Linked DNA regions of Canis lupus familiaris. The protein of the gene in region 4 purifies or fractionates together with the protein of the main gene of each other region. This does not show direct contact. Links are inferred from orthologs where the notes say so. Each region holds a gene or a part of one and is shown on either strand. Other genes may lie near its edges.

Region 1 (3,294 bases), on a different chromosome or scaffold from region 4:
TAAAGCATGCAGAGGTCCTGAGGGCTGTCCCCACCCACCAGCAATCTGGCTCTCTCATTTGAGCCACAGTTTTAGTGGACTGGAGGAAAGCCATCCTGGCCCGAGTCCAGGAACCAGGAGCTATTATGAGAGCAATGAAACCCAGAAGAAAGACGGTGTGAAGCGTGATTCCCCTCTCCCTCTAAAATAAGAAAAATGAGTCCAGGGAGAAGGGGCTTCATGTGCTAACAAAGCCCCTTTCTCACACAGTCCTACCTGGTAGAGCCACTTCCTGGGAACCCCACACCTACTAGACCTTCAGCATCTTCTTGGATGTGTATAAGATAGGGTGAAGGAGAGGGGAGGGCAGGCCCACGCTTCACCAGAGCTGTGGGTGGACCCTCTGACCCAGCCCAGAAGCCCCGTTGCCGGCAGCCTGGAGAGATGGCCCTGATGGAACCTGGGCAGGGGGGGCCTGTGGAGCCGACATGCCTCTAAAGACATACACAGGCTGTGACAGTTTCCGGCACCATAAAATATGGACAGGCTTCCAAACAGAACAGAGTGGTCCATGATCTTGTGTCCGTCAGCTCACCGCTGACACGAAGGAGTATCAGATCCCGCTGGGTTCTGGATCCAGGACTGAGGAGGGCAGTGGGAGAAGTGGCTGTAGAAACTATCATTTATTGAATGCTCATTATTTCATAGGCTGTACTGTTTTACATTCATTTTCTCATTTCAGTCCTCACAACAACCCTATGAGGTAGGTATCACCATTTACAAAGAAAACAGGCTCGGAAAAATCAGGTCACTTGCCCAAGGTCACTCAGCTCGTCTGTGGTGCAGCTGGAACCTGTCTGGCGCTGAAAGCCCATGTTCTCTTTATTGTACCCATCTAGTCCAGCTTTGGGAAAAGTTGCCGGCCACACTCACCGCTGGTAGGGATGCATTGAAGCAGACTTGATGTTGGTTTTTATTCCACTTGGCATTTTCCCTAAAAGGAATATGAAGAAAGACACCTGAAGCACCTTAAGACTTTCATGATAAATCAGAGAGGTGGTCTCCCAGGCTCCCTTCTGCCACCCTTTCGCTCTTTCAGCTCAGAACCTCTGTGGCCTCTGACCCCGGGTAGCAAAGATTAGAGGTGTGGGTCCTGACCAGCCCTCTCCCGGAAGGTATCTGGAAAAAAAGGACTGATAGTAGGAGGGGTCAGAACACACCCCAGCAAGTCTCGTGCTCAGCTACTTCCGGAAAAGACAGCTAGACCCCATTTACTGTCACAGGCGAAAGACTGTTCTCTCTTACTGTAACTGCTCCATTTCCTGGAGGGCTTTGGATAAAAACAAAAAAACCAAAACAAAACACAAAACACCTCTTCTAGCTACGCACATCTGAACTCCTCCAGACTGTTCTCATAACTATTAACAGTAGATCAGAGAGATTGAATACAAAGAAAAGAGTACACATAACTTGCTTGTCTTTCAATCCCAGCATCCCTACTGAGTGGTCTTAACTGAGGCCCACCCACTGGTCTAAGACCCCAACAGCACACTCAGTGTCCAGAGTAAATGGGACAAGAAGGTAGTTGACACAGAGCTCTAAGATGGGGCTGGGAGGTGCAGTTCCTGCTGCTCGAAGTTCTTCCTTTCGCTGGTACCTGCTACAGAGTCTCAAAAGAGTTTTTTTACTCTTAAAAATTGATTTCTGGGTCACAGTCCAAGGAGGATAGGAGAAAATCTCCAACTCTGGGATACTGGGGGCCCAGACAATCCAGCTTATCCCTATTTCCTTGCTTTGAGTCTGCTACCATGTCATCCTCCGCCACCTTACCTGTTTGACCTGCCTGGGCCATCTGCACCCCACTGAGCAGTGGTTGCTGTTGGCTCGGAGCTCCTGCCATCTGTACTTGCTGTAATCCTGAGGCTCCAGCAAGGATCGGCCCAGCTCCTGGCTGGCCGGGCTGGCCAGGACCACTACTACCGGAAGGCCTCCAATTAGACAGCCCCTTCCCAAAGGCCACAGCTGCTACTAAGGCATTGGTGTCTGCGGGGTTAAAGGTCTGCTTGTTTGGCCGGAGACCTGAAGAAAAAGGGGAAGTGAGGAGCTTGCGATGCGCCTCTGACCCTGGACTAAACCTGGCAGCAGGAAGACCAGCCCCAGGAGCCTCAGGGCTTCAGCAGCATCCACACTCACCAGCAGCCCAGAGAAAGAGACCCCAAGAGACCCCCACAACTATCTCAGAATTATCCCTTCTCATTTTGCCCCTTTCCTCTGCCTGCTCCAGGGCTGGCCTTCAGTATAAACGGCAAACAGAATGGACACATCCCTCTCCTAAGCAGTTGTCTTCTATCCTCACTTCACCACCACCCAAACCACCAGTCTTAGTCCAGTCATCTTCTCCTCCTTTCCCTCTTCCATTTTTGCCACCAATCCTTCCATACCTCCACTCTCAGATTCCCGTTCCTCTTTGCTGATTTTCTCCAGAAGGTTTGAGCACATTTTATTCAAGCTCTGGATCTGCTTCTGTAACACACATACATTTGTGCAGAGATCAGAGCAGACAGGAAATACTTGTGATGAGGGCTGTTCCTTGTGCTCTTCCAGGGGCAACTTTTATATAATCAACTGCGCACCCCTACCAGACACCAACAGTACTGCCCAGCTTCTCATGAAGGGCCCCAGGGGAGGGGGGAGCAGCAGGGCAGTGACTTGGTCCAACCTGAGCTGCGTCGGCACCGATGCGAGCAGCATCTGTTGTGAGCTGCTTCTCTTGCTCTTCGACCTCAGGGTCAGGCTTGGTTCTCAGGTGGTCAGGGACCACCTCGTGGCTGAAAACAGGCACTCGTCCTTCAGTCTGCCGCTGTAACACACAGATGTTACTGATCCTCCCATGCAATCCAAGACAATTCAATCTGGCTTGCTACACAGCTCCTTCCACTGGCAAATGGTACATTTTTGGGGAAAACACAGCCTGACACTTACAGTATCTGGCTTCCTAGAACACTGTTGCTCTTACTCCCTGCTTCATTTCTATCTGCTCACACCTCTATTTCTACCAGACCTAGAGGCAAGTTTCTCTTTGCTACATTTTAATAAAATACCAAAACAGACAAAAATCACAAAAGAACACACTTTTTCCTCAAGATAGATATTGGAGGAGAAAGGTCTTTGCCTTGGGCACAGAGGCCTCAGGTTTATTTGGCACTACTTGGAAGTAGCTCCCCAATTCCAGAAGGAAAAAAAGGCCTCAATAAAGCAGCCCTTGCTTTCTATTACCACACACTACACATTCAGAACTTCTAAAATTACCAAGCA
Region 2 (4,580 bases), on a different chromosome or scaffold from region 4:
AGTTGGCACTAGTCTCATTTTAGTGACAGTCTTTGAAAGAACACTAAAAGAATCACTGTCCAAGAATAACAAAATTAACATATGCTTTCATATGGTAATAACCACAACTAACAACAAAATATACACCTTGAAAAAAATACATAAGAAAGTTACAACATTTCTAGAAACTCCTACCAAATGTCTGCATATTGATACAGAAGAGAGCAGTGGCAGAATGGACTCAAATGGTGAATTACACATGCCTGCAAATTACTTCTCCCTCATTCCATTTTTCTTAGGTAACATGCCTTCCTTGTGCCCCGTTCGCAAGAAAATACACAAGGATGCTGGGTGGTTAAAGAAAAAGTTATTCAAGGCTAAAGCCTGCCATAATATGGATAATTTAAGTAAAATAAAATAACCACACTGAAACATAACAGTAAGCTAACTTTTTTATCTGGCTTCACATCTAACAGTGTTTCACACACAAGAAAAAAATCTTAATTTGTAATATAAATGATTTTTAGGAAAAGTATACAACGTTGCTATATATCATTGGTTAAAAATAAGTTGCCTTCACCTGACAAGTCATGGTGAATAAGATCAGCAAAATTGGGGTCTTCACCCCACCAAAATATCCACAATTCTCTTCTTCCAGGTCTTTGATCTCGCCGCCAAACACCAAGTACATCTGCCTTAAGGCAGCGACTAAAACTGCTCAAAATGGGGTCTTCCTCTGTCACCGGAAACAGAATAGGGGCAGAAGTTGGGCCTTGCCATACATATCTTTTCCATTTAATTCCCGTCAAGTCAGCCTGAAGAAAAGAAAGCATGAGTATTACAGCACATTCACTCAAAGTCAATAGTACTCACTCTTAAAGCCCTTTATTTCATTAAGACATTACAATTTTTCAATATATACTGAAGATATTAAAGCAGACTGACCAAAAAAATGATTCTTAGATAATTCAACAACCCAAAATTTAAGGAAAGGAACTAAAACCGTGAAAATATTAACACTGACATGTCACTGAGTAGCAATAAATAGATGTCCCTAAGAAAAATAAAAGACTTAAAAATGTTTAATATAAACATGTACTTTAATACTGCACACTCAGTAAACATTTCCTCTAAGTTCTGTTCCAACTGGTCACGTTTGTTCCCTGGTGTCACACTGTAACAGAAAATTTTTAAAGACTTATGATTCCATGTTTATAAATTGATGGCTCCAATGAAATGAGAACTATAGTTGAAAAAAGTGTTCACATATCCCTTTTAGGCAAAGTGAAATAGAAAATGCGCACAAAGAACTGTCAGATTTGTACTAGTCTATTTTCAAAGAACCTGATCCTAAAAGTACCAAAAATAGACGGAGTCAGAGAAAACAGAAATGTAAAACCTGATGTTATGTTTTATTGCACCCGAAGAGATGTTGATTAACGGGCATTGTACAAGAAAACATTTTATAAGAGGAAAGGGCATTAAAAAAAAAACAATTTGGCACCGTGAAAAAATTCGACAGGGAGAATTTAGTAATTCTTTAACTTAGAGGTGCAAAGCATAAGGTGCCAAAAATGAAACTGCTGATACATGACTGGCAGTTTACACTTGCCAACTAGTTGTGCTCCGCCCACTCGGTTCACTTACCTATCACATACTCTTAGTATTTCTCCTAGCACACAAAAAATGAAAAAAGTCAGTCACTGAAACTTTAAATCGTGGACGAAGCTAAGCTACTGTCCAACTGAGGGCTAAATATTTGCAACAGTTGGTAGTTTTCAAAAAGTCTTAACTGTGGATGTTACCAGAACTGGGCCAACCTATACAATTGTCAGTCCTGCATCCAGCTTCCCTAGACTTTTCAATATAATGAGAAGCAGCCTGCTCAAACCAATCTAAAAATGCAAGTAAAACAAATAACAGCAACAAAAATTAGTGCAAAACCATAGAACCTCCTCCACTAGTCCCATTTCACTCTCACACAAACATAATGTTCTATTAAAAGCAAGACGGCTAAAAATTGTCAAAATGGCAAACTGTTTTCAAAGTTCAAAGACAAAACATGAAATGGTATCTACTGGTTTTTACAGAGAGATCTGAACTCATCGAAGGGAGAAACTAATCTTCTGTTAGTTTGACTCATCAGAAAACGTAAAACGAAAAGAGATTTTTTTTTTTTAGTACATAAGTTCCGGTGTCCTGTTTGGGGGGGGGGGGGGCGGGGGGGGGAACGAATGACCAGAGTGTGGCATAAAGGCACTGGGAGAATGAGCAATAATGTAAAGTGTTAAGAAGAGATACATAGTCAATAAGGAGAAAAGCAATAGTTAATAAGCAAGACACACCGGGAAATGGGAGTATCCTGCCAGATAAGGAGCACAAGTTGAAGACAAGACTACGGTTGAGGAAGAGTCGGAAACGGGGGACAAGGAAAGAAAAAAAAAAAAAAAAGCCAGCAGTCCTAAAGCAGAGCTCAGGATGGGGCTGAGCGAACGCGTTTCCCGGGGCTGGCGCGGGGCTCGGCCGCGGGGCTCGGCCGCGGCGCCGGCTCCGGCTGGGCCTAGCCCGGGGACTCGGGCATCTGGATCAGACCCGGACCCCCTCCCCCACGGCCCAAGGGCGCACCTCGCGGCCCCCTCCCCCACCGCCCCGCACGCCGCGGCCCCCGCCCGCGGCCCCTCACTCACCAGGCAGAAGAGGTTACAGTGACAATCTTCCAGGCTGGCCCCGTTCGGCACGAAGGAGGAACTCATCGTCCCTCACAGCAGCCGCCGCCGGCGCCACAACCCACCATCCGCCATTACCGCCGCCTCCGACCAGAGAGAGAAACACAGACACCGGGGAGGGCGGGGGGGTGGCGGCTGGGGGAGCGGTGGAAGAGGAGGCCGCCGGGCCGCCCGCCCTCCCCGCCCACCCCCCCGCCGCCGCGAGCAGCCCCCGCCGCCCGGCCGGCACCTAGCCGCCCGGGGCCCAGGGCCGGCGGGAGGGCCGCGCCGCGCTCGCCCCGCGGGCCGGACTGCGGCCGCCGCGGAGCCCGCGGACGCTTGCCCCTCTCGGGGGCACAGAGGAGATATGTGCTCCTTCCACAAGAAGAAAAAAAAAAAAAAACCAATAAATTACACAATAAATAATTAAAATCGAGTCCGAGAGGGCAGAGCCCGAGCCGTGGAGGGTGCTCCCGGGCGGGGAGGCGCCCGTGGAGGGGCAGGAAGGGCAAGAGCCGGGAGAGAAGCCCAGGCCCCCGGCCCGGCGGCGGCGATGTCCTTAAGCCCAGAATCTCCTCGGCGGCGGAGGTGGTGGCGGCGTCTGCGGGCTCAGACCATTCTCTGGCTGTGTCTTCGTGTCGTCCCTGGGCCAGGCCGGCCTAACGTCTGCTCTACTGCGGCCTCACCGCCCGGACGCCGTAGTCTCCCCCATTTTGTGGGCCCAGCGGGCGGCGTTTTTCCCCCTTTAATCCGAATTCACGGGTTTTCCCTTCGCTTTAATGGCGGCCACAGGGACCAGCTCGCCCTCTCTGCTCGCCCATTGGCCGCCTTGAGGTCACGTGGGCCCGGGCTCCGTGGGGAGGAGGAGAGAGAAGGGAGTGAGAGAGGGCCGGGAAGCTTTCGGCGGAGGCGGTGAGCCCTGGGGACCGGACGGCCAGCTGGCGGCTACTAAGACAGCGCCATCTGCTGGGTGCCTCGGCCACTGTAAGATGACCCCGGGCCCAGGCCCTAGCTTTCTCCTTGCGGGGGGGGGGAATCTACAGCGCAAGAGGGTTCGCATCACCGATCTGAGAATTACGTGGAAAACAGTTTGATTTCGTCGGAAAAGAAAGTGTTGCAAAAATTCCCGGGCATTCTCACTTGCAAACCCCCCGGGCTTGGGAGTCAGACGATCTGCGATACAACTTGGACACTTAAAAAGTTGTGATATCAAGAAAGAAAGAAATGTATGAGAAACAGTATAGCCTCGTAGTGAATAACCTGGGAGTGAGAGCCACGCTTCCTTGGGTTCAAGCCTTGAGCCAGTCAGTTCTTGGGGTCTCAGTTTCCTCATTTGTTAAAAGGGGGAAACATAACCCTATCTCATAGGGATGCTGTGACAATGGAGTTAACACAAATAAACCAGGTAGCCCAGTGTCTGGCACAGACACCCATTGCTAACAGTTACCTATTATTGTTGTCATCGTGACCTCATAAGATTATTGTGAGGAGTTGAACCAGTGTATGTAAAGTGCCACCACCGTAACCTCCGTGAGAACCAGAACTTTGTTTTGCTTACGGCTGTATCCCTAGTGCTTAAAAAAAGGTTCCTAGCACACAGTGGACGCCTGATATTTGTAAATTTGCAAACGAATGAATGGTAAGAAATGGAAACCAACTAAAACGTTCTGTTCCCTTCCCTATAAAACACTCAGTTCTTTATTGGATTACACTTCAGTGTAAGAGTTCAAACATTTTCCCTGAAAATTTTGGAGAGGAGAGAGAGAGAGAGAGACAGCGGGGAAGAAAGGAAAGAAGAAAGGAAGGGAAGAAAAGAAGGAGGGAGAAGTAAAGGTGATTCAAAAGTTAGAAATATTAGTGAGTTAGCATTTACCATAATTTTACATTATAGTTGTG
Region 3 (4,538 bases), on a different chromosome or scaffold from region 4:
AATTTTTAAATACTGGTAATTAGTTCTAGAAATGGTCAAGTCTTGTGAGGTCAAAAAGAACTTATCTACAATCTTTGTGGTCTGTGGGCCAATAGTTTTAGACTTCTGTTTTATATTCTCCCTTGGGTGATTATTAGTTAATTCCCTGGCTTTTAACACCATTTCTACCAGTCATTCTCAACCAAGGGCAATTTTGCCCACCAGGAAACATAGGGCAAGGTCTGGAGATATTTTTACTTGTCACAACTGGGGGATGGGGTGTTACTGGCATCTAACTGGTAGAGGCTAGGGATGCTGCCGAACACTTACAATGCGTATGACAGCCCCCAAAAAGGAATTATCCCAGCCCCAAATGTCAAAATATTGTGCCAAAGTGGAGAAGCCCTGTTCTGTGTTTATGACTCTGTACTTTCTAGCTCTAATCCAAACTGCCTGATCTCCTGGATGGCTCATAAAGCATTCAGGTTGAACCACTTGCATAAAGTCACAGATTAAGTAGTAGAGGAAGGATTCAGAACCATAGTATCTTAAACACTACTCTACATTATCAAGGATAAACAAAAAAACATTGCTTCCATCTTAGTGCCACTTACAACCTAACAAAAAAAACACAAAAATAACTACCAAGTTTTAAGGCTCCTACAGAAGGCCAACAGTTCTACCAAAAATAAGTCTAAAAATTCCACACAGGAAAATTATCATAAGCAAAATTAAAAGACAATCCCATTCTTTTGGGAGAAAAATGCCTGCAAGCTAACAGAGCAAATATTGGAAATTTTATTTTGACTTTTCAAAAATTTATTTTCTGACTCCACTCCCACCGGAAGGAGGGCACTAGGACTTCAGGAACTGCCGAATACACAACTCCATCTCCAGCACCTCAACACCTAAAAGATCCTCAATAAAGGCCCACTGATTGAGTTTTTTTTTTTTTTTTAACCTCCGTTTTTTAAAACAGAATAATAGACAAAAGAGGACAAGGAGGAGGGCTCGGGTGGTTCAGTCGGTTAAGCTTCTGCCTTTGGCTCAAGTCATGGATTCAGGTCCTGATCTCAGGGTCCTGGGATTGAGCCCGCATCCGGCTCCCAGCTTAGCAGGGAATCTGCTTCTCCCTTCTCCCTCTGCCTTTCCCCACGCTGGGCTAGCTCCCTCTCTCTCAAGTAAATAAAATCTTAAAAAAAAAAAAAAAAAGACAAGGGAAATGCAAATGCTGAATAAAAGCAGAAAATTATTCAGACTAATATACTTCTAAAAGCAAAGTTTTAAAAAGAATACTTTTCATCTAACGGACTATCGAGATTTCAAATACTCCATCATTCAACAAATATTAGAACACCTTCCATGCGACAGGCGCTGGATGCCAGCAGAGGTCGCACTCTCCCAGGGCAGCTCTTTCTGTCCAAGGGTCTTGCCCTCTCATGCTTCTATAAAGACCACTTTTTTGCACCACAGACGTCTCAAGAACTCTTTCTTGGCTGTTGGTTTCAAACCCTAACATCTGTCCTACGTCACAAGTGCATAAAAATGTGCACCAAGGGTGTTTAATGCAGCGAGGTTTGAAAAGAGTAGGAAAAGCCGGAAATCATCCATGACTTCATCAATATGAGGAGTGGATAAAATATTTCTCTGTAATATAAGGCGGCCCTCGAGTAAAAGGGGTAAAACTGCTTGCGGGGAGTGGGGGGTGGAGGTGGGGGTGATAAACAGTGTTTATATGTGATTACTACCAAAATCAGAGAATTAGCATTGATCTGGTTACTTCAAAAGCGACTGTAAGAGACAGCCCAGGCTCTGCCTCACTCAAGCATTTTTAGTTGGGCGCCCGGTTCCGCGCCTCCCCACGCCACAAGCCACAAGCACTCCTCTATTCAACGTGCAGGTTCCCAGTCCCACGTGACTGGCACGTTTTAAAGCCTCTCGGCGGACGCCTGGGTGGCTCAGGGCGGGATCCGGGGATCCGAGATCGAGTCCCACGTCTGCAAGGAGCCTGCTTCTCCGTCTGCCTGGGTCTCTCATGAATAAATAAATAAAATCTTTAAAAAAAAAAAAAATTAAAAAAAAAAAAAAAGCCTCTCGGTCTTCCTCACACGCCTGTCAGCTTCCTTCGCGAGAGGAAGACTCCGCGTCTCGGAGGGGCCGCCTGCGCCGCGTCGGGGCTAGCGAGTCCACGGCAACGCTCCTCATCCCGGCTCCTTTCCGCGGCCCAGGGCAGGCTCGCCCACGGAAGCAACCTGACGAGTCGCACCGATTCTGCTCATTCCTCCACCGCTTCTCTGGGGCCAACTCTTCCGAGGCGGTGTCTCCACTGAAACCGGCGCCAAGCGTCACGGCCGGTGACCGGACCCCAGACCCCCCTTCCGTGGGGCTCAGCCGACAGGAAGGCATTCCAGGGTCCCGCCCCGCCCCCGAACACCTCCCCCTCGACGTGGCCACCAGGCTTGGGATCGCGGCCTCCTGCACCCCGCACTACCGCGGCCGACCTCAGGCTCCATCCCCGACGAGCGCGGGCAAGGCCCGGGGGCCGAGGCCCGCCACGTCCGCCCGGCTCAGCACACCCGCGGCGCGGGACTGGAACTCAGGGCTCCCCCACGGAGGAAGCCCCGAGCGCGCCGCGCCGACGGCACCTTCCGCCCGGCTCCCCGCGAGCAGCAGCGAGGCCGCATCTCCGAGGGATGTGGGAGAGGAAGGTGACGGAGCGTGTCCGCGCCAGGCTTCCCCCATTCCCAGCCGGCCCTGGGGGAGCCGCGGGGTCCGGAAGGCGAGACGCACGCGGCACGAAGCCGCAAGCCGTCGCCGCCCACTTACCTCAGCCCAGGCTTGACGCTGGAGCCGCCTTCGCCTCCGCAACCGAAAGCCGACTTCCGGCCACCTCCTCCAGGAAGAAGCCCGTGACACTGCCCCTTGATTGGCTGAGAGAACTGTATGTTAGCCGCCGCTCTAGTCCCGCCTCCAACCAAAACCTTGCTACTGCGCCTGCGCGTATCTCCCCGCGCCCTCGGCGGTCGGGTCGCCGGCGGCCTCGGGCGTGGGGGTGTCTGTGCTAGTACTTTCTATCAGTAAAAGCTGCAACTGGTAGCTTCGCTCCTTTGTTATCTTTTTTTTTTTTTTGACACCTGAGATTAACTTATCCGTTTGCCTTACATGAAAATTAGAAAATGCAGATAAGCCGATTTTTAAAAATTAGATCGACTCTAATCCTACTGTCCAAAATAGCATTACATTTATTTTCAATCTGGAAATATTTATGAACGAGATCGGGAATTCATAGCGTTCTCAGTTTCTATTTCTTCACATTCATATTTATTTTCATTTAGGAATTGAAACATAGCTATGTTTCCAGGTAACAAAAAATGTATCAAAGTTTTTGGGAGGTAATTTTCAGAAGAAGTAACAAACTTATAAATTCGTGGAAATCTGACGAGAGCATACTGGACATAAAAGAAAATTGTTATTCTGATAAAAGTTTTCAACTTTGCCTCTAAAATAAGATTACTTGGTTTCATTTTTTAGAAAAGAACGAGATTCCGAGTATATGCAAAAGTAGAGGGGCGCCTAGGTGGCTGAGTGGGTGAAGCCTCTGCCTTCAGCTCAGGTCGTGATCCCAGGGTCCTGGCATCAAGCCCTACTTGGGCTCCCTGCTCAGCAGGGAATCTGCTTCTCCCCCTCCCCTCACACTGCTCTTGCTCTCTCTCTTCCTCTCTCAAATAGATAAGATCTTTAAAAAAAAAAGTGTACTCATTATCCACCTTCAATCTATATCTACCCATTAGATCTAGACATTATTTCGTTTTAATATACACGTCCAAAATAGGACTCTCATTTTCCCCCATAAGGATACAGGTGTTATATCATTTAAAAATAAGTTAGTAGAGGTGCCTGGGTGGCTCAGTGGTTCCGTGTCTGCCTTTGGTTCAAGTTGTGATCCCAGGGTCCTGGGATCAAGTCCTGCGACAGGCTCCAGATATGGAGCCCGCTTGTCTCTCTGCCTACATCTCCGCCTGTCTCTCTGTCTTTCATGAATAAATAAAATCTTTTTTAAAAAAAATAAAATAAAATAGTAATTATTTAAATTCATCAAAATCAAGGGCACTTAGGTGGCTCAATTGTTTAAGCTTCTGATTCTCAATTTCAGCTCAGTTCTTGATCTTGGGGTCATGAGACAGCCCCATGTCAGGCTGTGTGCTCAGCCTGCAGCCTGCTTAAGATTCTCTCTCTCCTGCCCTCTGCTCCACACACCCCCCCCCCTTACCTCTCTTAAAAAAAAATCATAAAAATCAAGTCCTTATTTGGATAACAATTGCTTCAGGATCCAATAAGCCTTTGTAACTGGCTGATGTGTCTTTCAACTACCTTTAATCTTTGATTCTAAAGTTTCTGTTAAGTAACAGAAATTTAACCCAGTAAATTTAAGAGATCTAATTGGATTTTTTAATCTATTCATCTATTGGGCAAAATCCCATCTAGCAAGTAATGGGGAACTCCAAGGATTTGTGCCAAGTGGAACATTTTTCTAGAAAGGAGGGTGGAGCAAGGAAGTT
Region 4 (4,434 bases):
TACCCACACCATTTATTTTTAATTTGCTTGCGTGTTTATTTCTCCAATAGGTTTTAGCTCCCCTGATGGAAAAAGACCAGTTTTCATCTGGTATCTCCAGCACTCACCCTGGTTCCTGGACATAAGAGAAACTAAGATTTTCAGATACGTTTGATTGACTTCAAGATCTGAGAAAGTTCCTTAAGAAATTTACTCTTGTAGTAAATCAATGATCTCCATCCCCCACTCCCAAGTTTTCCAGGTTTCTTCCCAAACCTAGCAGGTGGGCGGGGGGGGGGGGGGGAGGTGTCACTACTAACTTTCCTTACCACTTTAGATAAAGGGGACCAATTCTTCCTTTGTGCTCCCACTAAATGTGGTATATTATTCTTATCCTAGCACCAATCACGCATAAAATCGTATCCCAAGCATCCTAAGGACGCAGGAATTAAATGAATCCATATTCACCTTGATTAAGGACACTTTCTCAGACATCCTTGGAGAACGTCACCATTATGCACAGACCTTAAAAAAAAAAAAAAAACAAACATCTTTTACAATGCAAACCTGATGCCTGCTTTTAAGACGATGCATCCTCCTGGCACTTGAATTGTCCTTAGACAGATGGCCCAAAGCTTGGCTGTGGGAACCGCATATGGTGGGAGGAGACCATGACTCGAGCGCCAGGAAAAGGATGATTGGCTGCCGGGCCTCAGAAGTTCTCCGCAGACCGACGCCAGCCCTAGGAAACCGCTGAGGGTTCAGCTTTTGAAATACGGTTTTTGCATCGTAAAGAAAAAAGATGGACCTATCAGAACAACCGAGCACACCCAATTACCAATCAAGAGCGGGAAAGGAGCCAAAGCCCGGGGATACCCACGCACCGACGAGGACGTCATTCTCTAGTCTCAGCCAATGAGCGGCGGAGGGGGGCGGGGCAACGAGCGGACCAATCGCCACGAAAAACAAACCGTCTTGCAGCACAACTGCTCTAACCACAGTCCTCGCCTCTCTAACCGCCGGCGCAAACTCCTGAGCCGAGCACTTGTTACGTACTTTCCACTCTCCCTCTCGCCCGGGGGCAGTGATAGTGGAGTACCTTCCTCTACACCACAACAAGGGCCTTTTTTCCACCCGCTCCCCCACAGACTCGCAGAAAGAATTCGGCAACTTGAAGCTTCCCACCTTCACAGGAACTGGCAGTCCGGCGCTACCTGAGGGGGAGGGGCGGCCGCAGTGCGCAGGCGTGCCCGCCTCGCGGGGCGGGGCTGTGGCGGCCCAAAGCAGCCTGGGTGTTGTATTTCTTCTGCTGGCGAAACTCGGTTGCTGTTGGGGCCCTCCGGAACTACATTTCCCAGGAGCCCCCGCGACCTCGGGGTGGGCGGGATGGTTCGTTAATGAGCTCGAGGAAGCCGCGGCGCGGCCCACCAGGTTCCAAAACAAGGAAATGAAGGGGGGAGGCGGGACTGGGGCTGCCTGCGGGAGCCGCCGCCGCCGCCGCCGCCGAGGAGGAGGAGGAGGAGGTGGTGGTGGAGGAGGAGGTGGCTGCCGCGGCCGCCGAGGAGTCCCTTGCTGAAGGCGGACCGCGGGGCGGCGGGCGGCGCGCGCGCGCCCGAGAGGCGGCTGTTGGAGAAGTGGAGCGGCGGGCGCGGGGGGAGGAGGAGGAGGAGGGACTGAGCGGCGGCGGCCCCCGCGTCCCGGTGCCTCTATGGGGAAAGCAGACAATGGATTATGATTTCAAGGCGAAGCTGGCGGCGGAGCGGGAGCGGGTGGAGGATTTGTTTGAGTACGAAGGGTGCAAAGTGGGACGCGGCACCTACGGGCACGTCTACAAGGCGAGGCGGAAAGATGGGTAAGAGCAGGGGCGGGGGGAGCGGGCTCGCCCGGGTCCTCGCCCTGCCCGCGACCGCGCGGGGCGGCTGGGTCGGAGCCGGGGCGGGCCGCTCCCGGGGGGCGAGGCGGCGGGGGGCGCGGGGCCGCGCGTCCCGGCGCGGACTGGGGGGCGCGGGCGCTGCCCCCCCACCCTCCACCCTGCACCCTCCGCCCCGCGCGGCCCCGTCGCGCCCCGCGGACTCCCGCGGCGCAGCCCGGTCGGGGGGCGGCGGTCCCGTCCCCGAGGGCGCCCCCCGCGCGCCCCGGGCTGGCGGCGGGGACTCGAGGGGGCACCTCCGCGGAGGTGGAGTTGGCGGGGTCTGCTCTCGGGGGCGGGCGGGGGGCACGCGGGGCGCCGGGAGAGCTTCGTCGAGGAGTTGCCGCTCCGGCCCTGGGCCGGTGACGGTCGTGGCGGAACTTCCAATCGGCTGAGCGCCTCCCCGGGGGCGGCGGTTTGAAACCCAGCCGGGGAGCCGGCGGCGCGGCCGAGCGCTGGGGGCCCGGGCAGCCTCCCGGCTCTGGGCGCAGCCCCTGTCTACACCCGCCGACTTCGGGATCCATCCTCCCCCCGCCGATTCCGCCTTTGCACCTTGTGAATTCCGCGCCTCCCCTCCGAGGTGGGACCTCCCGGGAGACCCGCCGCGCTTTACCGGCGGAACTTCGCCTAGTTCCCTAACTCGTCCCCCCACCCCCCACCCCCCGCGACCTTGGGCATCCTGAGGTCCTCCGCACCCCGACCTGGGGCATCCTGAGGTCCTCCGCACCCCGACCTGGGGCATCCTGAGGTCCTCCCCACCCGGACCTGGGGCATCCTGAGGTCCTCCGCACCCCGACCTGGGGCATCTTGAGGTCCTCCGCACCCCGACCTGGGGCATCCTGAGGTCCTCCCCACCCGGACCTGGGGCATCCTGAGGTCCTCCGCACCCCGACCTGGGGCATCTTGAGGTCCTCCGCACCCCGACCTGGGGGCATCCTGAGGTCCTCCAGACCCGCACCTGGGGCATCCTGAGGTCCTCCACACCCCAATCTGGGGCATCCTGAGGTCCTCCCCTGCGCCCCCCTGGCCGAATGACTGCGCGCTGGGGGCTCCCGAGCACCTGGATGGGCCAGGACGGAAGGCGGGCCTGGATCTCTTGTTCTCCCGGGGAGTTGAGGGCGACCCGTGGTAACACCTCTTAGAAGCGTCCATGGATCGCCGTCTTAGGAGAAGGCGAGCTGGAGAAAGTATTGACAGCGCCTGTCCTTGGTCCTGTAGGGTAGCCGTGCGCGGGCTGCAGGGCCGGAGGCACCAGCTCCCCGCGGCGAGGAGGGTCGGGGTGAACCCTTGGCCTCCCCTCCGCCCACCCTGGCGGGGATCCTCCTCCCCCGGAGCCGGGAGCCCGGGGACGTCTCTCGAGCCCTCCCGCCTAGGTTCCCAAGGCTGTCAGAAACCACTCGGGGGAGAGAGTTTGTAGGCTCGTAACGGGACATCCCTGAGTGAAGGGAGGATCGGCCGCGGCGACGTTAGTGGGACTGGCGGCGCTGCGTCGCGTCCTGCGCACCTGCCTGTTGCCATCGCTGCAGCTGGTGTGGGGGGGCCAGGGCGGAGCAGGCGGGGCCGCGCGCCGGTGCCCGGGGAGCCCGCGGAGCCCGACCCTACACGCCGTTTCGCCCTAGAGCGTCGTGGCCTCACGAGGTGCTGCACACGTGCGGAGAGAGGATTGTGAGCCGCGTTTAGCTTTTGCCTTCTGAACTGGACGAGCCCCATGGCGTTCAGTTGTAGCTTAACTCATGGTTCTTGCAGTTACTTGCCAGGTGTCGTCCTTGAATTAATATCTTGGACTGTGAGGCACTATAATTAACTTGTATTTTGCTTCTGGAATATTAGCTCTGCTTGTTCTCCTGGTGTCCCTGTAAGGAATCTTAGCAGATATACTTGGGGAAGAGCACATCTAGTTTTCCTGGTTGGACACTGGCATTACAAAACAAATCCCACCTTGTGTGTTTTTCATACTCCTCGTGCTTACGTTGTGATACACTTGATCTGGAATTTCTAAGATGTATTTTCATTTTTGTTGTTAAAAATAGCTTCCTTTCAGTAGGTAACTTGTGAGAAAAATTGAGGATTCTGCTTTTGAATTGTATTTTTTGATAGCATGGGCCACAACCAAAAAACAGCTAAATTTAATTCCTGCTTCTCATTGTTCTTTTTTTTTTTTTAATATTTTTCCCCTCTAATAAAGTTCTTGATTCGACTACACTTTTCTTCTTGAGTGAAATTTGTTTGAGCAGAATTAATAAAGTTTCTCGAATAGAATAAGATCAGTTTGTGTATCTTCAAAATACGCTTTTTAAAGAAACTTTTAGGATCTGAAAGCATTAGTTGATATCACTGTATTGGTTATAAGAAAAGTCATTATAAAGGTAGGTTTTCTTGGGTCAAAGGTCTAGTTGAGATTTGAGGTTTTACAGTAAACACATCTCTTGTGGGTTGGTAGGATTAGTTTTATGTTCCGTGATACAAGCGATTTGAAAGAACAAAGTTTTTAGTGATGGTTCTAAGCTGTGATGCAGATTTGCATAGTAAAGGATTTTACACTCTGA
Region 5 (3,817 bases), about 9.7 Mb from region 4:
AAAATAGAAAATATCAGAGCTAGTTCTTTGGGAGGGAAAATCAAAACAGTAGACTAAACTGCAGCTACTTGAATCAAGGAAAAGAGGGATGACACGAAAGATACAAAATTAGGAATGAGAAAAATAAATAAACCCAAATGTACCTTTGGGTTATCTCCATGGTAATAAAGTTGAAAGCTAAAACATTTAAAAAGCTCCATACCCACGTTATTTCATGGTTATATGTTTTCCCATTTTCAAGAGGATCTGCTACTGAAATCACTTCACACAGAAAAAAAGCTTTCCAGTTCTCTTTATGAAGCTACAATAACATTGATAAAATCTAGCAAAGGTAGCACTAAGAACAGTCTCCGTTTTGAATATTGATGTAAACATCATAAAGTATTAACAAGTAGAGCCTAACATCATACTAGTAATTTAAAAAAGGCAGTGATTTTGTAGAAATATAGTCGATATTAGGAAATATGTTAATAGACAGTGAAGGCATCAGAAGACGTCTATTAAAATTCAACATCTCTTCTTGACTAAAATAGGATGCTTTCTTAACATGGTAAGAGCATCAAAGCATGAATGATAAGAGATATTTAATGGTGAAACATTAGGAAAATTAGAGTGCCTGCTTAACATTGTTCTGAATTGCTACTCAATATAATTAATAGAATGAGATATAAAAAATGACAAAATTGTCATCCTATACAGATAAAATTAACCAGAAAATTCAGTTAATTGACAAATTATTATAAATAATATTTAATAAAGTGACCAGGGATCCCTGGGTGGCGCAGTGGTTTGGTGCCTGCCTTTGGCCCGGGGCGCGATCCTGGAGACCCGGGATCGAATCCCACGTCAGGCTCCCTGTCAGGCTCCCGGTGCATGGAGCCTGCTTCTCCCTCTGCCTGTGTCTCTGCCTCTCTCTCTCTCACTGTGTGCCTATCATAAGTAAATAAAAAAAATTAAAAAATAAAAAATAAAATGACCAGTTACAAAATGTAAAAAGTGGAAAGCTTTCTTTTAAATGAATGATGGAAACATAAAATACAATAACAGTGGGAAATATGAAATACACAATAAACTAAAGAAATGTGCGGGATCTATAGGAAGAAAATTTTTAAATTATGTAGTAGAAAATTTTTAAATTATGTAGTAGTAAAGATTTTAATAAATGGAGTTTGAATTCTAGTGTTGTAAAGATAGCATTTCTCCCTATATTGATGTGTAAATTTAATGCAATCCCAAACAATTTTGAATGAGTTTCCTTTTTTGGGACTTAACATACTTCTAAAGTTCAAGCCTTAGAATAATAAATGTAATAGAATATGTAGAAATTTTCTAAAGAATAGTAAGCAGCAAGGAGGGTATTTTCCATACCAGATTTCATTAATTTAATTTTTTTTCAATAATTTAATTTTATGTTTTAAAATAGCGTGGCATAGAAATAAGAAAAATTGAAAGAAAAAAGCCTTAAGTGATTGGAAAATGTAGGTGATTTTTTTTTTTTTTTAAGTCATTTTGTGTCAGGGAAGGCCTTCCCATTTGTGACAAGCATAACATCAAAGTACAATATGGGTTGGTGTTAAGTGTTCATATTTCTGTATTACAAATTAAATATTAAGAGATCATGAACTTGGGAAATGTTTTCAGTGTATTTGACAAATGATTTACTAACCATAATTTGCAAATTACATGAGAAGAATCTTTTAATCATGAAAAAGACCATCCCATTAGAAAAACTGTTGTTAGAATTACAGTGTACAAAAGAAGAACTGTATTTAGCCAATAAGGCCTGGAAAAATGTTTAACCTCAGAAGTAAACTAAAAAACAAAATCCCCTAAAACAGTAAGATACTACTTTGCCTTTAAGTTGTACAGTATTTAGAAGATTAACCGTAACCCATAGGGGGTTTAAGTATTTTAAAACACTCTCATGTACTGTTAATAGGAATGGAAATTGGTATGATGTATGGAATACAAACTGAATATGTAAAAGTTATCAGCAAAACCAACCAATCAGTTCTATTTCTAGGAAATTATTTTAAATATATTATTAACCAAATGTACAAGGGTGAAGTACAAAGATATTCATTAAAGTCTTATTTTTAATTATAAAAGATTATAAGCTACATATCTATTAATAGGAATTAACTAAATAAATAATCCATCCATAATGATGTGCAGCGATTTAAAGAGATGCTGAATAACAAATTTGTTGACATGGAAAGACTTCCAGTACATACTGAGTGACAAAGGCAAGTTGCAGAGTGGTTTTTTGGGTCATTTCAATTTCATATCTGGTTAAAAATAGTAGACTTAACTAGGCAAGTGGAGGCTATTAGTGTAATAAATTATGAAGCAGCTTTTAACATGATTGGAATTTGTGAAGTCGAAAAATTAAATACTGTAGTTACTCATGAACAACTAAGAAAAGATACTTCAAATCTAAGGTATCCTCATTTAGTGCCAAATAACTATACTATTATTTTATGTATCACTAGGAAAAAAATAAACGTGCTGCCAATTAAAAGCCTAAGGCATCACTGACTGTAAGATCTTTCTTGATATCAGAGTCTTAAAACCAATGCAAAAACAGTGTAAGGTAGTGAGAAAGAGAATGAAAAAGGCAAAATTAGAGTGGAATTTTTTCAGAGCATATTTACATTCATTAGTGAGATGATTCTCAGTTTCAAGAAATGTAGAAAATCCTGTCTTCAGAGTTTACTTCTGGCATTTTGTATTTCTTAGAATGTTCACAACTTGTTCAGTCTTAGAATGTTTTTTGTGACTTAGTTGATTTTCTGTAACGTGTCTTAACATCTTTGTTCTTGTAGTTTGCAATGGATTTTGGATAAACAAGATCTGTTGAAGGAACGCCAGAAGGATTTAAAGTTTCTCTCAGAAGAAGAGTATTGGAAATTACAAATATTTTTTACAAATGGTAAAAAAAATAAATAACTGAAATGGTATAGTTGTTTACCTCTGAATTAAAACTTTTGTATAGTGGGATCCCTGGGTGGCGCAGCGGTTTGGTGCCTGCCTTTGGCCCAGGGCGCGATCCTGGAGACCCGGGATTGAATCCCACATCCGGCTCCCGGAGCCTGGAGCCTGCTTCTCCCTCTGCCTGTGTCTCTGCCTCTCTCTCTCTCTCTCTCTCTCTCTGTGTGACTTATCATGAATAAATAAACAAAATCTTTAAAAAAAAAAAAAAAACTTTTGTATAGTAATCTATGGTGAGCTGTTTTAGTCCCTACTTAACATTTTTATTTATACATGTATTCTTTTCATAACTTATATTTATCTTTCTAAGTGATATAAAGTCTGTTGTGAATCTTACATGTCAGGGACACTCAAGACAGTTTGAAAGTGTCATTAATCTCTCTAAACCTTTATAATATGTTATTAAGTCTAATTTAAGATTGGCTAAAGCAAGTATTTTGAGGATAAATGGATTCTTTGGGTTGACCTCCTATGTTGGTCATTTTTATCTTACAAGTTTGCTTTGGAGGGAAGGGGGTTTAGACTCAGAAGATCCTTGCTCTGCCATGTAGCTTTGTTACCTGATCTTTCTAAAACCAGTTCACTTTTCTGCATACCCGCCTTTCTATTATTTTGAGAATTCATTATGGACTTTTTAATAAACTTTATAAAGTGGTAGTTGAGGTGAATTTGATAGCTGTCTAACATTTTACTTTTGCTTTTATTCTAAAGATAATATGAAAAAAAAAAAAAGAAAAACACTGAAAATACTTAGAAGATAGAGGGAAATACCTATCATTCAATCTTCTTAATATAAGAATAGTGTTTGCTTTGGGGACAGTTTCTA
Region 6 (3,817 bases), on a different chromosome or scaffold from region 4:
ACTTATCTAAACTTTTCTTTTTCCCCAGCCCCACCTCCTCTCCTTTCTAACCCTCAATCCTGATCCTTGCCCCCCTCCACCCCACAGCAGCTTTACCTCTTCTGCTTTTGTCGGTCACGTTCTTTGCGGGAAGAGGAACCCAGGTGCTGGCCTTTCTCCAACTCCTCTCCGGCTGCCTTTAACACATGCCCCTGGACTGAGGTGGGCAGCTTAGCGATGAGGGGAGCGACCAGCCACACACCAGAGCGCTCCAGAGAGCTGGAGGACAGATGGGAGTAGACAGAGTTCCAGAGGAGCCAGGCAAGGGTAGAACAAGCCATGCTCTCCCTGCCCAATGGACAGGCCTAGTATCTCTGTGAGACTGAAATCATTTACACTATGAGAGAACAAGTCATAAGGGGAGGGGTCTGAATGCATTTCTACCCAACCTGAGCACTGGCTTTGTTTTGCTGCTGCTGGGCATGTTGCTTGTGGTGCTTCCAGAAGATGACCCTGTCTCTGCTGACTGTTGGAAAACCTCGATTGTGGCCTTGGCGATGTTCTCTAAGAGGGAGTTCATCTCCTGGGGAGGATGAAAGGCACAGAGGTGCTCAATAGGTAACTGTGATAGGAAGGAAAACAGACGGCAGGAAAGATGGGAGATGAGGGCGGAGAAAGGCATCTGGAAGGTAATGAGAGGGAAAGACACAACTCTGCTGAGAGCCTGCCCTCCAGAGCCTCCCTATTTCTCCAATTCCCCCACTGTCTTCTCCTCACATGCCTCCTTACAGTTGTGACCAGAGAAACTGCCTCCCACCACCACCATCGCCAATCTTCCCCCACACCACCGAGCCCCAACATTCCTGACCCATTTCCCCCTACTCATCAGCCCCATGCGTTTGCCATCTTCCCACCCTCTCTTTCTCAGCTCAAGAACCTGAAGTTCCATAGGACACAGGTTCTTCTATGGTAGCCCACACCCCTGACACATGGAGCTGGAAGTGAGCATGGGACAGAGAGGGCCAGGTGCCAACTCACATTGTTAGGGGTCTGCTTGATCATGAGCTGCAGCTCCAAGGAAGACTGGCGCATGGTCCACTGGTCCAAGTTCTGTGATGGAGACGCCACCCCTAAGCTCATCATCATCCTGTCCCCCCTCTCCATTTCCAGCCACTTACCCCCCACCCTGACTAAGCCACCTCCTGATCTCTCACAACCTTGAAACACATATGCCTACAGGTCTGAAAGGAACTTCCACGTCCCCATCTTTAGGAAAGACTACACCAAAATGATCCAAAATCGTTGAAAAATCTAGCCTATTTTAAAAACGGTTCTGGAAAGATTTCCCATCTTTCCCCTGTCTCCTATTCCAGAGCTTCACATTCCTCCACATGGGTAAGTTCTGCTTAGCACTTACCCTAAATCTTTGATGTTAAAGTTGCAGGCTGTTTTAAACCAGCTGTTCAAAGTCCTTTACAGACCCAAGGGCTAATGTGAGTTAATCTCTCTTTAACATTATCTCCTCTGGGCTGAAGAGACTCATTCCTGTAGCTCTTTTAACAGCTTTATTTCTCCACCCTTCAGTTACCTGAATGCCTGAAGCAGCATGGCAAAGTGGAAGGGGCACAGGCCCACCTGGGCTCGCACCCTGACTCTAAACTAGCTGTGTGACCTTGGGCTAATTACTTAATAAACTCTTCAAGCCTTGGTTTCCTCCTTGGTCAAACTTGGCCACTCCTACCTACTTTCTGGGGGTTGGGACAGATTAAATGAGAAGATGGACATAGAGTGCTGAGCACAATACTCGGCATGAAGCTGACACTTGGTAATCAAGAGCTATGAAGTACTACTGCTGTTCGTTACTGAGCTGTGAGCAAACACCAAACAAGCAAGGCCTTAAACAAGGCTTAGCAGATGTTGTGCCGCCTCTCACTGATAAGCTACAGTCCCAGATAGCCATGCCCTCATCCAGCAGTTGGCTCTAGGGTCTGGACTGCACTGGCCTGACTTCAAAACCCACATGGGGGCTGTTGCTCTGACCACCTTTTGCCCACATCCTTGTTCAGTCTTCCTACTTGACTAACCCCCTCTTTTTCCCTCAGGGTCCCCATTGTTTCACCCAGGGCCTGGGCCCCACTGCTTCCTCTAAGACCCTCACCACCTTGGCCTACCTGCAGAATACGCTTAATGCGCTGCCGCTGGGGGTTTTCCCCGTCCTCGTTGTCCAGCAACCGATGTGGGTAGCAGATGAGCTGCATGAGGCGCTGGGCCTGGGCACTACTCAACACTGGGTCTTGCAGGTCATTGCTATCCTCACACAATGATTTAAGGCAACGCTCTCCTACCCATTCCTGAGGAAGTAGATAACCAGGGCACTGGGGCAAACAGTGAGTGGGGGTAAGGAATAAGGGGGAGATGGGCTGGGGGTTGATGAGAGACGTGATGTATAGTAGGAAGGTGGCATGATCAGGGCTGGAAACAGGACATTATTATATAAAGGCATTTGGGATGCATGGGGGGAAGGTGAGACTGACCTGTTGGCAGATGCTGCGCAGCACGTACTTGGCATAGACATCCAGACTGGCTGTCTCCACAGAGATGTTGCGGCCACCCTGCCTCCGACCGCCACTGCCACCTCCTCCCTCCTCCTCTGGAAGTTCTTCTGTTCCTCCTGTCACAGTGAAGCCTGAACCCTTCAGTTCCGCATCCCCTGTGGTTCACGGGCGGGAGATAGGGAGGGCAGAGTGAGATCTGAACACGGTGTAGAGACCCACCCCAGACCCACAGAAGCAGCAACTCCCCCAAATCCTGCCCTATGGGACAGAAATATACTTCCCTCCCTCCTCTCCTCCCCAAAGGTCAGAGAGACCACCTTCAGGAGGGAGAAAGACTTTCCTTTGTAGTTTAGCTGGCACTCCACCCCACACACACTTCTGGCACCACTCCCTTCCTACCCCCATACCAAGTACAAATACTGCCTTGAGAACAGCAAACACAGCTCCATCCACGATGCGGTTCTGGGAGGCAGCCAGCAGGTGGCGGTCACAGGAGGAACGGATTCCTACTGTAGGCTTGTCTGGAGAGGGAGCCCAAGTCATGAGAAGCAAAAGTAGATCCAGTGGGGTGCAGGCAGTGGGTGGGGCGGGGGGGGGGGGGAGCAGCCACACTTTCTACTGCTGGCTAGGCCCAGATCAGGGTCACTTACTTCCATCTGACTGGCAAGGATTGAGTTGAGGCGTCTTGAAAAGGTGGAGGAGGATGCGGCAGGTCAGCCGGGCCCCTGGCTCAGAGTCCTGCTCACTGCAGGCTGCAAAAAAAAAAAAAAAAGGAAAACAAAGCAAATTGGACAGGGCAAAAGTGGACTGTCCGTGGGTTTGTGGGTGGCAAGGGGCTAGAAGGGAAGGCGAAGTCAGGCAAAAGGAGAAATAACAAGATAATGGGGGAGGAGAGACAGAGCAGTCAGCTGTCTTGCAGTGTGATGGGGGGGGGTCCCTTAGGAGGGTCACAACAGGGAAGGATCAGGGCAGTCAACACAGCGTTAGAAAGAGGCCGCTCTGGGCCCGAGGCCCATCACACAACTGGCCTCTGGTGATAGCGGGGAGCCCCACACTCAACAGTGAGGGTGTGGCCATGGAGTGTGTAGTCAAACTTGGGATCCAGAAATTCTAAGGGTTACGGACTGGTGGTTCACCGGCATTAAGGAGTGAAGGGATGGCAGCACAGCGAATCAGATCCTCAAGGAGCAGACATTGCCGAGCGATGAGGATGGCAACAAAAGTAGCCAGAGAGTCATGAAAAGACAGGTCACTGACCTGGAGGACAAAGCAGACAAGACATC
Region 7 (2,568 bases), on a different chromosome or scaffold from region 4:
AAACTTCCTAAAAGGAAACAAGAAGTATGTTTTTCAGGAGATGATGGAGACTCATTTGGATGGGTCAGCAATTTGGCATAGGGGAGTAGTGGCTGAAGTTAGAGTCAGATGTGTTTTACCATGAGTACCTAAGGAATTTGAGCTTTTTCCTGAGGGTAATAGGAAACCATTGAAATTTTTGACCTGAGGAGTACTGCTTCTAAAAATATCTGGAGAATATGGGTGCCATGTATTGAAATAGAGAAGACATAAATGAGGTGGAGAAAATTTGGAGTTTAAAAAAATGAATGCATGAAATTAACTAACTAGGAGGAAGTTGGAAACCTAAGACTAGTTTTTAGGAGAGGAGTGTTAGGAGACTGGGGTGAGACATTTAGAAATCATCTTCATAGAACTGGTAGTCAAAACAGGATGTTGGATGGGCTCATAAAGTGTTTAGGAAAAGCAGGATAACTAGAATGGCAGGAGGCAGTGTCTGTTTAGGAGGAGCCAGTACCGTGGCACTGAGTCTTCTGCCACCACAGTACACGGTGCTTCTGGAACGTTTGGCATGAGAAAGGAAAAAGAGAAGGATAGAGCAAGGCCTTAGGGTACGGAGGGAAAATACCTTGCTCTCTTAACAATTACTGAGCACCAAAGATGTGTATTGCATGGGGCACCAGCAATACATGTGTGAACAAGACAAACATTGTCTCGGCCCCCAAGGGACTCACGTCAGAACCTGGGTTTTTCCAAGTGAATGATTATGAACAAGCCACTTTTGTCATTTGCATTCTTCGTGTTCATCATAACTGTAGATGAAATTGTGGGCTAGCTAGCTCCACCCTTTGCCACTAGGTCCTTATTAGATTACTAACAAACTTCCATTCTTTGAAAAAAGTCAGCCATGCAGTATTTATACTGATAGTACCTTGCACTTATAGAATACTTTATAATTTTCAATGTTTTCATTTGAACCTTGAAAAAAAAAATTAGCGTGCTCAAGATAGCTGTTACTCCACTGCAGAGATAAGGGGAAACTATGGCATTAACTTTGAGGCAAAAAGCATCATATTTGGTATTATTAGTAATAGAGACAGTGGTAACAAATTAGTCAGCAGTAGCTAAAAATCCTGTTCCTTATGTGAAGATAATTAGTGTTTCTTGCTAGCGCAAAAAAAAAAAAAAAAAAAAAAAGTCCTTAATCAGATGCTCAAGGCTTTGTCCTTTTTGGCCCTTACCTTGCTCGGTAGCTAAGCTCTGAGGTAAGATCCTGCTGTGCCAGAGAGTATAATTTCTCACTGGTAGATTATATGAAAAGCACCCAGAACAGTGTTTAGCACAGTAATTACATCACGTAAGTTATTATTGCGAGGAGTCCAAGTTGGGGAAGAGTGTCTTCTTTGGGGTGAGTTTCCATCTGTGCTCTATTTGGATGTTTGCCGATTTTTCTCCTTGTTCCGACTATTACCATTCTTTGGTTTATGTTTTCAGCGTCTATTATGTTATTTAGTTTTGCTGTTTCTTACTTTAAAAACTAAATTTAATTCTTTATAATTCTCACTACTCTTGGGACTAGTATCTTTTTGTTCTCCGTGCCCTCTAGGTAGCACTGAGCTGACAGGCAGCACCAATCTGATCACACACTACAACCTGGAACATTCCTATAATAAATTTTGTGGGAAGAAGGTGAAGGAGAAACTCAGTAACTTCCTGCCGGACCTGCCAGGAATGATTGATCTGCCTGGTTCCCACGATAACAGCAGCCTCCGTTCTCTCATCGAGAAACCCCCTATTCTTGGTGGCTCTTTTAATCCCATCACAGGGACCATGCTGGCTGGTTTTCGCCTCCACACTGGCCCGGTGAGTCCCCTCTTGGAGAGGCCTGAAAGGCGTGGAGATGGTTTCTCTCTCCAAGTCTGTTCCTCCATAACTTACTGAGCAGAACAGATGATGGGAGCAGAGCATTTTGTCCCTCCACTCACCTGGAACTTCCTTTGGTTCCTTCAGTTACCAGAGCAGTGTCGCCTGATGCATATTCAGCCGCCCAAGAAGAAGAATAAGCACAAGCACAAACAGAGCCGTACCCAGGATCCTGTTCCCCCAGGTAAGCAGCAGTTCTATTCAAAGACAGAAAACCTGGACCTTGTTGGACCATCTGTTTTTAAAAACCCAGTTAGGTTCCTTACAGAGCCCCAGACTTCCCAAGTTCTCCTGATACTGGTATAAGGATAATTAGTGTTTCCTTCAAGTAGAAAGCTGGAACAGTGCCTTAGCAGTGCCTCCCTTATCATTTCTGGCCATTAGAGGAGCAGGTGCCCTTGACTAGGTTTTCCTGTGGTCTTCAGTTCCTAGCTGTAGGGAATTTTGAGTTCTACAGGTGATCGGCACACACTGTTTCCTACAGAAACACCATCTGATTCTGATCACAAGAAGAAGAAAAAGAAAAAAGAGGAGGATCCTGAACGGAAAAGGAAGAAGAAAGAGAAGAAGAAAAAGAAGGTAGGTTAGGGCTGTGCTGCTGCAACCCAGAGCCTCCCCGTCTCACCCTGTCTTTGAAGGTCCTTTGCCTCAGGTGGGACCCAGGAT

The links.
Region 1: the proteins of CDK19 (region 4) and MED8 purify together in Homo sapiens (affinity purification with mass spectrometry; 6 studies listed by BioGRID and IntAct, counting the BioPlex papers as one, with this or other methods). This does not show direct contact. The link is inferred for Canis lupus familiaris from reciprocal best matches to the Homo sapiens genes CDK19 and MED8.
Region 2: the proteins of CDK19 (region 4) and MED13 purify together in Homo sapiens (affinity purification with mass spectrometry; 6 studies listed by BioGRID and IntAct, counting the BioPlex papers as one, with this or other methods). This does not show direct contact. The link is inferred for Canis lupus familiaris from reciprocal best matches to the Homo sapiens genes CDK19 and MED13.
Region 3: the proteins of CDK19 (region 4) and MED7 purify together in Homo sapiens (affinity purification with mass spectrometry; 5 studies listed by BioGRID and IntAct, counting the BioPlex papers as one, with this or other methods). This does not show direct contact. The link is inferred for Canis lupus familiaris from reciprocal best matches to the Homo sapiens genes CDK19 and MED7.
Region 5: the proteins of CDK19 (region 4) and CCNC purify together in Homo sapiens (affinity purification with mass spectrometry; 8 studies listed by BioGRID and IntAct, counting the BioPlex papers as one, with this or other methods). This does not show direct contact. The link is inferred for Canis lupus familiaris from reciprocal best matches to the Homo sapiens genes CDK19 and CCNC.
Region 6: the proteins of CDK19 (region 4) and MED12 purify together in Homo sapiens (affinity purification with mass spectrometry; 10 studies listed by BioGRID and IntAct, counting the BioPlex papers as one, with this or other methods). This does not show direct contact. The link is inferred for Canis lupus familiaris from reciprocal best matches to the Homo sapiens genes CDK19 and MED12.
Region 7: the proteins of CDK19 (region 4) and MED19 purify together in Homo sapiens (affinity purification with mass spectrometry; 7 studies listed by BioGRID and IntAct, counting the BioPlex papers as one, with this or other methods). This does not show direct contact. The link is inferred for Canis lupus familiaris from reciprocal best matches to the Homo sapiens genes CDK19 and MED19.

Annotation. Positions count from the first base shown.
Region 1 is NC_049236.1:16,885,227-16,888,520, reverse strand, and holds the end of MED8 (mediator of RNA polymerase II transcription subunit 8), read right to left. Parts: intron 2,840-3,294; coding exon 2,699-2,839; intron 2,503-2,698; coding exon 2,421-2,502; intron 2,059-2,420; coding exon 1,810-2,058; intron 974-1,809; coding exon 909-973; 3' UTR 644-908; downstream 1-643. UniProt on the Homo sapiens protein: Component of the Mediator complex, a coactivator involved in the regulated transcription of nearly all RNA polymerase II-dependent genes.
Region 2 is NC_049230.1:34,602,715-34,607,294, reverse strand, and holds the start of MED13 (mediator of RNA polymerase II transcription subunit 13), read right to left. Parts: upstream 2,822-4,580; 5' UTR 2,733-2,821; coding exon 2,667-2,732; intron 795-2,666; coding exon 560-794; intron 1-559. UniProt on the Homo sapiens protein: Component of the Mediator complex, a coactivator involved in the regulated transcription of nearly all RNA polymerase II-dependent genes.
Region 3 is NC_049225.1:53,883,859-53,888,396, reverse strand, and holds the start of MED7 (mediator of RNA polymerase II transcription subunit 7), read right to left. Parts: upstream 2,873-4,538; 5' UTR 2,806-2,872; intron 1-2,805. UniProt on the Homo sapiens protein: Component of the Mediator complex, a coactivator involved in the regulated transcription of nearly all RNA polymerase II-dependent genes.
Region 4 is NC_049233.1:67,738,966-67,743,399, reverse strand, and holds the start of CDK19 (cyclin-dependent kinase 19), read left to right. Parts: upstream 1-1,519; 5' UTR 1,520-1,703; coding exon 1,704-1,831; intron 1,832-2,299; exon of another isoform or gene 2,300-2,468; intron 2,469-4,434.
Region 5 is NC_049233.1:58,029,358-58,033,174, reverse strand, and holds part of CCNC (cyclin-C), read left to right. Parts: intron 1-2,825; coding exon 2,826-2,932; intron 2,933-3,817. UniProt on the Homo sapiens protein: Component of the Mediator complex, a coactivator involved in regulated gene transcription of nearly all RNA polymerase II-dependent genes.
Region 6 is NC_049260.1:55,693,332-55,697,148, reverse strand, and holds part of MED12 (mediator of RNA polymerase II transcription subunit 12), read right to left. Parts: intron 3,792-3,817; coding exon 3,671-3,791; intron 3,287-3,670; coding exon 3,185-3,286; intron 3,056-3,184; coding exon 2,942-3,055; intron 2,690-2,941; coding exon 2,514-2,689; intron 2,331-2,513; coding exon 2,151-2,330; intron 1,090-2,150; coding exon 1,018-1,089; intron 563-1,017; coding exon 429-562; intron 259-428; coding exon 97-258; intron 1-96. UniProt on the Homo sapiens protein: Component of the Mediator complex, a coactivator involved in the regulated transcription of nearly all RNA polymerase II-dependent genes.
Region 7 is NC_049239.1:38,962,037-38,964,604, forward strand, and holds part of MED19 (mediator of RNA polymerase II transcription subunit 19), read left to right. Parts: intron 1-1,585; coding exon 1,586-1,842; intron 1,843-1,989; coding exon 1,990-2,086; intron 2,087-2,359; coding exon 2,360-2,481; intron 2,482-2,568. UniProt on the Homo sapiens protein: Component of the Mediator complex, a coactivator involved in the regulated transcription of nearly all RNA polymerase II-dependent genes.